Linked DNA regions of Oryctolagus cuniculus. The protein of the gene in region 2 interacts with the protein of the main gene of each other region in a biochemical or structural test. Links are inferred from orthologs where the notes say so. Each region holds a gene or a part of one and is shown on either strand. Other genes may lie near its edges.

Region 1 (3,745 bases), on a different chromosome or scaffold from region 2:
GAGGGGGGGGGGGGGAGGCAGGGGTGAGGGTCAATGATTGTATGAATTCCTCATTCTCTTCTCTGCTCCCCTCGACAGAGAGAGAGAGAGAGAGAGAGAGACCTATAGAGTTGGCCACCCTGCTGGGTACCACCACCAAGAATCCCCACATCTGCCAGCCCTCTCCCGTCCTCAACCCCCCGTCCCTAAGAGTCAGAATAATGGGTGCCTGGATCCCAATCCCCTCACTCTAACAATCACTTGTAACAACCACCTGAGCACGAGGAAAAGCAAAGGAGTTAGGAATGCCAATTCACTTGACACAAGGATCCCTGACTCTGCAGTCAAAGTCCTCCCAGCCCCCACACCCTCTACTGTTTTCCTGACAGTTGAATGTGAGCCCACATGCGTGTACACACACACACACACACACACACCAGGTGGGGGCATCCCTCAGCCAGAACAGTCCCTTGTAAACACAACACTGACTGCATCCCAAAGAGAACCCGGGGTCTGTGATTTGCTTTACGTAAGAAGCTACCACTTCCCAAAGGAGTTTTTTCCCAGCCCCAGCCAGAGTTCATGGGCTGCCAACACACACCCAAATATAAAAATGGAAATATCAAAGACTTCCACACTCTGGGTTTGCACGAGGGGGATCGATCTAAGTGGATGATCTGCTTTATAGAGCATTCTTTTCTTTTCTTCACCGCAGGAGCCGGCCCTGCCCTCACCTGCTTTTTTTTTTTTTTTCAGAGATCAAAACACAACCTCCCCCCACCCCAACACCAACACCCACTGGCACACAAAGTAAGAAGTCATAAACGCCCCTCCCTTTCAAGTCTGCCCACTGCTGTGATCCAGGCTGTTACAAAGGAGTTCAAAGGCACTGAACTGATATATACTGAGAGGCTCCTGCTCAGCCCTCCGCGCTGGGTGCCAGGACCCTGGCATGGGGGGGCCACTACCACGCACGTGCACCCTGGAATTTAGTCCAAGACTTTCAGTCCCTCAGAGATTGTGACTTCACTTGACAAGAATTCTCTCCCCTCCCCAAGGATCTGTCTTCCTTCCTCTCCTCACCCTCAGATGGGGCCCTAAAACCACCCAGGAAGAGGAAGCTCCCGGAGCCGCTGAGCTCAGCACAATCCCGGGCAGAGAGAAGAGGCAAAGCCCCCTCCCAGGAACACACACACACACACACCCTGCACACAAGTTGGAAGAGAGGGGCGCGGGGTGGGGGGGAGTGGGCAAGGGTGTGGACAGGAGGGCTGGGACTCCAAGGCCCACTAGATGAGAGGAGGCCAGCAAAGACCCACCCAGGCAGGGACAGCGTAGTCGGTACTCACTCCAGCTCTAGAAGGGAGTCAAGATCACCTCCCCAGGAAGGGAGGGATGGACAGGGAGGGCGAGATCAACAGCAGAGGGGTGTGTGGGCAGGGCCGCCTGAGTGACAATAGCAACAAGACCCTCTGGGTTCCCAAATAAGGTCTGAGGCTTTTTCTGGGCTAAGAGGTAACATCATCCCCATGCCCTCAAGTCTGCCAGGCCGCTTCCCATTCAAGCCCCTAAGGAGTATGGGAAGAGGGCTTTCCCACTATCCCTGAGATCTGCCCCGGCTGGCTGGGTGGGCAGAGGTGAAAGGATTGTTATGCCCAAGTCTTGCTGAATGTTTTGCTCTTCTAGCTCGTTCACGCATACTCATTCACACGGCACATCGGAGACACCCCCAAACCGACCCGATTCATGTTAGTCCCAAACACAGCTACCAGCCACTGGGAGTCACCAAGCTGCCAAGACAGCACCTGTGTCCCCCCCCCCCAGGACCCCTTCACCAACACTGAAGGAAAAAGATTCCAGGATTTCCTTAAAATCAGTGCTTCGGCTGACAGTGTCCCCTCAAATTCATTCCCCTCACACCCGGCCCAAAGACGTCAGATTCATCCTATAACCAGAATCCCAGTCCCCCAAGTTCACCAGGTTCTGGATACTCCAGAATCCGACCCTCTAGGCTCAGTCAAGAGCCCCCCGAATCTGCACTCCCACTACTGCTTTAAGCCTCGGTCAGGCAGGCCACTGCCGGATTCCTTAGGTGCCCCCCCACCCAAGACGGGTACCCCGATGTCCTCAAGGGCTAGGCCAAGGGCCTAGAATCCTAGTCTGGAGTTCCCGCTGCCCCCAGATCAGACCCCAGTCTGCACTCCCGGCCCCAGGCGGCCCCGCACCTGAGCAGCTGGGCCGAGTCGGCTGGCCTGCGCTCCTCCAATAGCACGAACACGGCTCGGGGGCCCTCCGCGCTGGCCTCTACGCCGTCCCGAGCTGGCTCGGCCGCATGAGACATGACGCCCGGTCCCGGGCGAGCCCTGCCAGGCCGGTCGGGCCTCGGCCCGGTCCCCCTAACAAAATAAGAGTCCCCTTCCCCCCGCTCGCCACCGCCTCCTCCTCTGCTAAGCCATGGAGCCAGTTCTGCGCGGGCGGGCGGCGTCGGAGAGATGGGATGGGCCGTGAGTCATCCCCCGCCCTGAACGGACCGACACCCCCCCAACCTAACCCCGGACGACCGCCCTCCTCCCCCTCGTCCTCTTCCCCCTCCTCCCGGGGCTGGGGAAACTCCACAGGAAGTGACCACACAGGCGATGGACGGCTCATCGGGCCACACCCCCTAGTGAGGCGGCCTATCTCTGAGTGCGGTTCGAAGGCCCACCCTAAGCCACGCCTCCTACGCGAAGGGAAAACTACATTTGGCCCAGCCTCGTTCCGAGAAGGGAGCACCTAGGCCCCGCCTTCAGTGGCAGGAGCAAATAGGCAAAATGTAATTTGCTTAAGCCACACCTCCTGCTTGCATCACTTTCTGAGCCGCTCCCCCTCCTCTCAAATTATTCCACCTCCCCGCACAACATTAAGCCGCTCCTAGACTGCCCCGCGCCTGCGCGCTGGTGACCGGTCGGCGCCTAAAGGGTGTCTAGGTCAAGTTTACGGCTGTGGAAGTGCGCTCCCTCCCGGCCAACATTTGTAATAATTTGCGCCCTAGACTGCGCTCCAGCCTGGATCTTGCCTTGCTCCCTGGCCAAAGCCATAACTATGAGGCAGAGGCAGCGACATTCCCTGCAAGTGCGGGTCAGAAACTCCGCCCTCAGTACTCGCAGTCCAGCCGCCCATCTGGGCTTCTAGGGAGCCTTGCGCCTTTGCACGGCATCTAGAGCGGTTGTTGTACTATGGTCGTTGTGCCACGCAGTAGATGCTTAATAAATCCTTAACAGATGGATGGATGGATGGACAGATGGATGAGATTTAGATCTGGTCCCGCCGGTGATTGACTTCTGGGATCATAAGGAGCCCCTCTGCTAGCCTTAGCTTTTCTGGCTTGTCAAGGGGTTCATACCCCCTGTCTGGCAGGGTTGTTGGGATTAGTGATAAATCATGAAAAGCACTAGCAGGTTGTTTGGCATACAAGAAGCCCTCCAGAAACTGTTTAGCTCATTTGTTCGTTCATCCAACGTGTATTAAGCCCCTCCAACTACCATTGGTGTTACACGCAGTGGAAGCTCCTGTTCATATTTTCAGGTGCACATAGCTTGCAGAACACCTTGTACACCTAAGCTTCTTTCTTCAGCTGGGCCTGCGGAAACCGGGCTTCTGTTTGCCTTGCACCTTCTTGTGGCTAGCACTTTTATTTCCCAGATCTGTCCATTGGCTTGATAAACAAGCCGATCTATGCGTGCACATACAACCTCCATGTAATAAAGATGACAGTTCTTGGCCAAAC
Region 2 (3,745 bases):
AGGGAGCTATAGCAGGAGAGGAGGGCGAGGAGCACCTGGCTGTGCGGAGGCTACGGGGCGGGCTAGGCCAGGGCCCCTGCAGCTTCTGGGCTGACTTTGTGGATTCGGCCACACCTCACAGGGCTTTGTAACTTCCCACCACTTGAGGGTTTGCAGATAACTTCTTTCTCACCACTGGGGGTTTCCTGCTGTTAAAAACAAACAAAGGCCTTACCCACCAGGGTGGCCTCACAGGGGAGGCCCCTGCAAAGGCAGGCGCTGGGGTAACTCCAGACAGCCCCGAGGAAGGGCTCCTGGATTCTGCGGGTGGGGAGGAAAGCTAGGAGCCCGCCCCCTCCCCCGGTGTGTGTGTGTGTGGGGGGGCGCTGAGTGCCTCAGCTCCCGGAGAACTCAGCACTTTAGTGCGGGGGTTTCAGATTTCGGATCTAGCTGTCTCTGAGTGTGCAACACCCGGTAATGTGACTTTCACCCAGAGACACATTCTAACGCGCCCCCGTTCATTCCTTCACGAACTCAACAGATGTCTTTTGAGGCCCTTTTGCTGCCAAGTACTTGGTTCACAAGGCTCAAGGGAACCCCCCCCCTCAGCTATTGTGCGCGCTGTCACCCGAGTCCTCGCAAACGCCATTTCCCAGGGCCCAGTGTCCCCTCTCTCAGCTCCCGCTCCGCAGTCTCGGTGTGACCTCACAAGCCCCTGGGTCGCGGGCGCCTGCCAAGACCCCTGCCCAGGATCGGCACACACGAGACTAAGTGCGCGCCCCGACCCCCTCGGCCTCGAGTCGGAGTCCGCTCAAGGTCCGACGGCGCCTCCTCGCCCCCGTCCTGCCCGCGACTCCAACCGAGCTCGGGCCCCCGCCTGGGGCCCCTCCGCCCGCCCGTTTCCCGGGACTTCCTCCCCCGCGCACGCTCGGCTGCGGGCCGCGGCCGCGCGGGGTACGGCGCGCTCCAGCCGGGCCCGTCGCCGCCCCCGGTCGCCCACGTGGGCGCGCTCGGCGCGGGGCGGGGGAAGGCCGGGCGGCCTCGGCGGAGCAGGGGCGGGCAGGGCGCCCGGGGGAGGAGGCGGGGAGCCCGGGCGGCGAGGGGGCGGTGACAGCGCTAGGCCGGGAGGCTGCACGCGGATTTGCATGAAACATAGACTGGGAGCGGGCGGGAGCGGGAGCGCCGCGCACGCCCCGGGCCGGCCCCGCGAGCGAACGAGCGCGCCGGGAGGAGGAGGAGGAGGGAAGCGGGGAGGCGAGGCCGCAGAGGCGGAGGGATCTGCGCATCAAAGCGAGCGAGGCGAGCAAAGTTTGGCTGGGGGCTGGACTTTCCTTCCCGGAGGCGGCACCCAAACAGCTACCCCGTGCGGAAACCCAAACTTTGTGCTGCCACTCCGAGCCTCGCGGCCGCTGCCTCCGCCCCACGCTCGGGGCCTTCCCGACCCAGCGCCGCCGCCCGCCCGCCCGCTCGCCCGCCGGCCGCCCTTCTCCGCCCCGTGGGAGCCGTTCGCTCGCGCGCAGGGCCGCGCGCCGAGCCCCGCAGGCTGCAGCGCCGCGGCCCGGCCCTGCGCACGGGGCAAGTTCGCCCGGAGTTGAGGCGAAGTTTGGGGCGGCCGCGGCCGGCCCGAGCCGAGCTCCCTTCTTGCGCCCCCGGCGCCCCGCCGCGCCCAGCCCCGCCGGGGGCGCCCCCTCGCCGCCCGCGCGCCCTCCCCAGCCATGTCGTCCATCCTGCCCTTCACCCCGCCGATCGTGAAGCGCCTGCTGGGCTGGAAGAAGGGCGAGCAGAACGGGCAGGAGGAGAAGTGGTGTGAGAAGGCGGTCAAGAGCCTGGTTAAGAAGCTCAAGAAGACGGGGCAGCTGGACGAGCTGGAGAAGGCCATCACCACGCAGAACGTCAACACCAAGTGCATCACCATCCCCAGGTGGGGGCCCGGGGTTGCGCCGGCCCAGCCCCCTTGGCGCGGCGCGGGTGGAGAGCCGGGACCCGCGGGCGTGCGCGGGGCAGCGGGAGCCTGGCCGGGGGGTGGGGGAGGGAGACCCCAAACAAAACCTCCTTCTGGGAGCGCGAGGCTTCCACGCGGCACTCTGGCTTCCAGACCGCACCTTCGCTTTCCACCTCCGGGATGGGGGTGCGGCGGGTTTGGGGCGGGGGCGGGCGCTGGTGGTGGTGGTGGTGTTGCTGGGATCGGCCGCCCCCAGCCCGGGGAGCTACCGAGTCCAAGTTGAGGCCCGCTTTGTTCGGCTCCGCGGGCGGGAGCCCCTCCCCCGCCGCCGCCGCCTCCCGCCCCCGCGGCCCGCGCTCGCGGAGGTGTAGCTGCCATTCTCCGCGGCGGCCGGGTCCCCTCGCGTCTTTCCGCCTCTGCAGGAATGCAGTCGGTACAGCTGGGGCGGTGGGTGCGGAGCCCTAGCCGCGTGATGGACAGATGCCTTCTTCGCTCTTTCTTTGCCTTTGGGATTAGCATTTGTATCGAGTATTTTTAGACTGGGTTGTGCCAGCCTCCCGCCCCGCTGTGCGCGCACGCCCTGGAGTTGCTGCGCAGGGCTCTGACTTCTTCGAAACGGGAGGTGCGAGTGGCAAGGCCACGGGGTCTTCTCCGTGAGCCCGCCGCCCTGCCCGCACCTTTGCCCTCCATTGTGGTCTGAGACGCTGCAGATCGGTGCAGAACGGAGAGGGGGGCTGGAGCCGCGCAGACACAGCCGCCCCGGAGTGGGCCTCGCGTCCGCCTTCGCATTCCTGTGGAGCCCTCACTCTCAAAGCGCTTTGCCATCTGTCGGGACCGCCTTTATCCTTGCCCGGCGCGAGCCGAGGCTGGCGGGCGCTCACAGATGGCTGATGGAAGGGTCAGTGACTTCTGACACCCCGGGGCCTTCCAGCGCTCAGCCGCGCCTGCTTGGAGATCGGGGTGGGAAGATGGGGGGGGGGGGGGAGGGCTTGGCCCTGCGTCTCTGCTTCTCAGCCCTATTTGGAGTCCGGTTCTGACCCAAGTGGGGCGGGCGCGGGTGGTGGGGACGCCGCAGCCTGGGGGGTCCCGGGCTGCAGAGGAATGAGGAATGGCCCCGCAGGGACTGTCAGCCTCGCTTCTGGGCACGGGTGGACTCCTCTGTCCTTGGCCACCTGCTTGGGGCAGCTGTGCAAGGGCTGCCAGCTGTGTGAGGCAGGCACAAAGCAACATCTGTCCGCAGGAACGCAGGGCAGGCCTCCCCTGCAAATAAATGCTGGGCATGGTGGCAGGGCTGACTTAAGAAGTAGTGAGTTGTGCTTTTTTTTTTTCTTTCCCCTAAAATGGGTGGATCCAGTCAAGAGAGGCGGTGTGCTTTGTGGGGAAGGCACTGTGGGCCGGGGGTCGGGAGCCAGAGTGGACTTCAGAGGAGGTGGTGTAATGGGATGGGCAGAGAAACTTGGGTTTTGGGCCCGCCTCTGGTTTTTAATTCTTTTTTATCCCTTTGGTGGGGGCCCCACCGGTAGAATGGGGGTCTTGGGGGGGTGCTTCTCTCCTGCTCCATGTTTGCCTGGGTGGGTGGAGGACACACAGGCTTAATTTATTCGTGGAAATGGGCAGTGGGGTGGGGGTGGGATGGGTTATAAAACAGGCAGCTGTGCAAAGTGTTCTACAGTTTACAAAGCACTTTCACGTGGTTTTACGAGGTCCTCGAAGAAAGAGACCCATGCCTGGAAAACAGATAAGGCAGCCGGGCTGGAGATGATCTCATTTTCCAAGCGGAGAACACTGGAGCAGGGAGGTGGGCAGGCTTGATCCAGGGGCTGC
Region 3 (3,645 bases), on a different chromosome or scaffold from region 2:
TTGAATGGTTAAGTAACTATTGCAGAATACTGCCTAAGAGGTATTTTATTAAATACGTAATTTCACCTAAAGAATTTTTGGATTCATAAACAAACCTGAATAATTAAGCCATTAAATATAGATTCTGGGCCCGGCATTGTGGCGTTGTGGGTGAACACGCCACCTGCAGTGCTGCATCCCATATGGGCTCTAGTTCAAGTCCTGGCTGCTCCACTTCTGATCTAGCTCTCTGCTAACGTGCTTGGAAAAGTAGTAGAAAATGGTCCAAGTCTTTGGGCCCCTGCACCCACATGGGAGACCTGGAAGAAGATCCAGGCTCCTGGCTTCATATGGGCCCTGCTCCGGCTGTTGTGGTCATTTGGAGAGTGAACCAATGGATGGAAGACCTCTCTCTCTCTCTCTTCCTTTCATATAAATAAATAAATCATTGTAAAAAATAGAGATTCTTTTAGGAGAACTACTCATGTTATATACAAAACAGATTTTTGTGATTAACATTACATTTACTTAGAGCTCTTAAGAAATCTATTGAGAAACAGAACAGATGCAAAGGATGTGTTGATGGGTTAACACAGAGTAGACTCTTGCATATAAAGGTACCCATACATGTTTGCATTAATCCTCCAGGAGTATCATTCTTCTGCCACTTGACAAATCACTTCAAATACAACTTTTACATATTTTCCACTCCAAAAAAACAATGTTTAAAAATAAATTTATTGTCATGGGAAAGAAATTCTGTTGGCTTATTCCAAACTCAGAGATATCCAAAAATGAGTCGAAACCTACAGAGCCAATTTTCTGAATTAAAAAAAAAAAAAAACAGATTTCACTAGATCAAACAACTTGACTCTCTCATAATAATAATAATAATAAAAAACCTTTTGGGGAAGATGGGAGTTTGTAGTGTTAAAACCACCTTTCGTATCTGCACTCACATTTCATCATCTCCTACTGGCCCTTACCTGTAAATAGGGTCCATAAAGAAAGGAGTGGGCCTGGCATGTTGCAAGGAACCATCTGAAGCTGGTCTTGATTCAACATTGTTGCCTTTCTTTTCCCCAAACACATGGTTTTTCCGAGGCTCAGTTAGCTTCGTCCCACTGGCTCTACTCCTACTGCCCATACTTAGATCCAGGGGCTGGTCTTGGCTTGTGGCAGGCGTGGCTGGAGGCTTGGAAGGGACTGGAGTCAAGGGCTTCTCATCCTTTCGTTTAGTGGTGAGATCAAAGGGGGACTCAGAGCTGCCCTTCTGCAGTTTCTTTACTTCATTTGGTGATTGGGGTTCCATTTTCAAAGGTAACGATCTCAAGTCTCTATCAGGAAATGGGTACATTGATTGAGAGAATGCTGGAAAAAATGGGAGGGGAAACATGGAAGGGTAAGGTAAAGCTCCAACTTTTTTGTCTTGCAGCCCCACCAGTCCTGTTGAACCAAAGTATTTTTCAGCAATAGAAGCAATAGCCTTTATAGAATCATTCACAGCTCCTGACACCGCAGTTTGCTCCTCTAAAGATGGTGAGAAAATGGAATGATTGCTGTATTCTTTCTTATTATTTATTGAAGCCAGATTCTGCAGAGGGCTTACTTTGTCTTTGAACATTTTACCATTTTCTTTAAATTTTTCTTTATCACTTTCAATGTCACTTTCCAGATCAGAGCCCGAGGTGGTTTCCAGGTCACTGCCACTTGGTGTACTGACATCATCAAGGTCACTACTCTCTGACTGGTCACTGATTTTCTCAAGGGGCCTCTCTTCAGAGGACCTCTCGGCCTGGAGCTCCACTGGCTTATTGTCCCCTACAGGTGGGTGTTTAGAGAGTGCCTTCAAAATATCCTGTGTAGCTGGCAGTATCTGAGGATGTGTCATGAGGGGACTTTGACTTTTGTTTGTCTGTTCAGTACTTGATAGTCCTTTAACAGGAGAACTAGCAGGTATCAAAGGAGGCCTGTGGTACAAGCCGGAAGGAAACAGACCAGGGAAGCTAAAAGAAAATCCAGGAGCTGTTGGAAAGGTAAGACCAGCAGGATGCCTATTGGCGCCAAAATAGTCAGCAAGGCCCGGGTTGGCATGACTCATATTAACCATGGACGTTTTATCCATAGCTGGGGTTCCAGGAAGTGAAATGCCTTGGCCAAAAAATCCACCTGCCGCAAAATGGTTCTTGCCCTCACAAAACCTCCTGTGTTTATTTAAGGAAGACGTAGTGCTGAACATTTGTCCACAGTCTTTGCACTTGATTTGGGTTCTGCAATCAGCATGCATGCGCTTATGTCGACAAAGGTTTGAAAACTGAGTATAGGATTTATGGCAGACCTCACCTGTGTGCAAACAACAAAAAAGAATCTCAGGCTTTATGGCAATTGCTTCTGAATTTAGCAAGTATCACAATTGGTTTACCCCAAATTTCAATTAAGAAGCCAGGAAAAGATATCGGGGGTACAATCTGGATGCTCCAAACACAGAAAACCCCCATTTTACTAGATTCCAAAGCAAGGCATCCAACCTGACAAATGTCTCCAGGCAGCACAAATATTCCATATATATATATATATATATTTAAAGATTTTGTCATTCCCCCACTGCACAATATTTTGCATAATATTTGTGTATTTAAATCTTTCCGAAAAAGTCAAATTCCAGCATGCACTGACTCCCCACCCAATAATGACACTAATAGAATCTTTAAAAAAAATCACAAGTCTTAAGATATATTAGGTATGAAGCATAAAAGGAACCCTTTTAATTTTAGACAAGTTAAAGAATTCTACATCGTAGGACCCAAGACAAAATAGAACGGCCTTTCCCTCATCCAGAAATTTCACTTTAATACCTCTCCCCTTGAAGAGAATATCTGTGCCTGCTCTACTGTTATTTAATTAGCATTATATCATACACTCTCATCATTCACACATCAAAGCCACATAACAATGCACATTGTGTATTCTGAGACTTTTTTTAACAATCATTTTCATGATTTGAGAAAGACTGACATAATTTACAATGGCTCTATTTTAAGCCTGCAAAGGAAACTAAATTGAATGTAGCCCATCCTGCATTGCTGGTTCCCATGAACTATGATCACGTCCTCTGACTTCCCCTCACACCAGTGGCTGTGCTAATCTTCCTGCATTTATGAAACCCCCGTTCCTGGGAAACATGTCCACTGTTGTCCTATCTTCACCCGTTATCTCAGGCCTTGACTTCTATGTGTGACAGCCAACTGTGGTAAGCAGGGGAGAGGGCTGGGAGTGCTCCAATCCAGCAAGGACGACGCAGCAGTGGGTACGGCTGTGAAATAGCCCCCTTTGCCAGGAATTTACCAAGAAAGTGGAATGTCTTTCTTCTTCATGGATGTGTCATCAGATCTAAGCATATTTTAAGACCAAACTTTGCAACCCCGAAGGATTCCCTTGCTAAGAAAGAATCCCACTCACTTCACAGGTCAGCAGGCTTATGATATCTGTTTCAAAGTATCGTATTTTATTTTATTTTCCTTTGCTGTAAATGAGCTAATCGTCCATGTGAGTTTACTTTAATGTTTCTGTGCATGTTTAATACATGCAGAAACAACATATACTCTGTTGGCCATTCCTGAAACACATTTATTTTAAGAAATTAAATGGAAGACAAAATGCCCTGTG

The links.
Region 1: the proteins of SMAD3 (region 2) and TFE3 form a complex in vitro, tested with the Homo sapiens proteins (2 studies listed by BioGRID). The link is inferred for Oryctolagus cuniculus from reciprocal best matches to the Homo sapiens genes SMAD3 and TFE3.
Region 3: the proteins of SMAD3 (region 2) and MECOM form a complex in vitro, tested with the Homo sapiens proteins (2 studies listed by BioGRID). The link is inferred for Oryctolagus cuniculus from reciprocal best matches to the Homo sapiens genes SMAD3 and MECOM.

Annotation. Positions count from the first base shown.
Region 1 is NC_091453.1:34,191,033-34,194,777, forward strand, and holds the start of TFE3 (transcription factor E3), read right to left. Parts: upstream 2,632-3,745; 5' UTR 2,321-2,631; coding exon 2,205-2,320; intron 1,351-2,204; exon of another isoform or gene 1,329-1,350; intron 1-1,328. UniProt on the Homo sapiens protein: Transcription factor that acts as a master regulator of lysosomal biogenesis and immune response.
Region 2 is NC_091443.1:89,858,246-89,861,990, forward strand, and holds the start of SMAD3 (mothers against decapentaplegic homolog 3), read left to right. Parts: upstream 1-1,138; 5' UTR 1,139-1,694; coding exon 1,695-1,900; intron 1,901-2,271; exon of another isoform or gene 2,272-2,354; intron 2,355-2,414; exon of another isoform or gene 2,415-2,811; coding exon of another isoform or gene 2,812-2,819; intron 2,820-3,745. UniProt on the Homo sapiens protein: Receptor-regulated SMAD (R-SMAD) that is an intracellular signal transducer and transcriptional modulator activated by TGF-beta (transforming growth factor) and activin type 1 receptor kinases.
Region 3 is NC_091435.1:111,194,884-111,198,528, reverse strand, and holds part of MECOM (histone-lysine N-methyltransferase MECOM), read right to left. Parts: intron 2,323-3,645; coding exon 966-2,322; intron 1-965.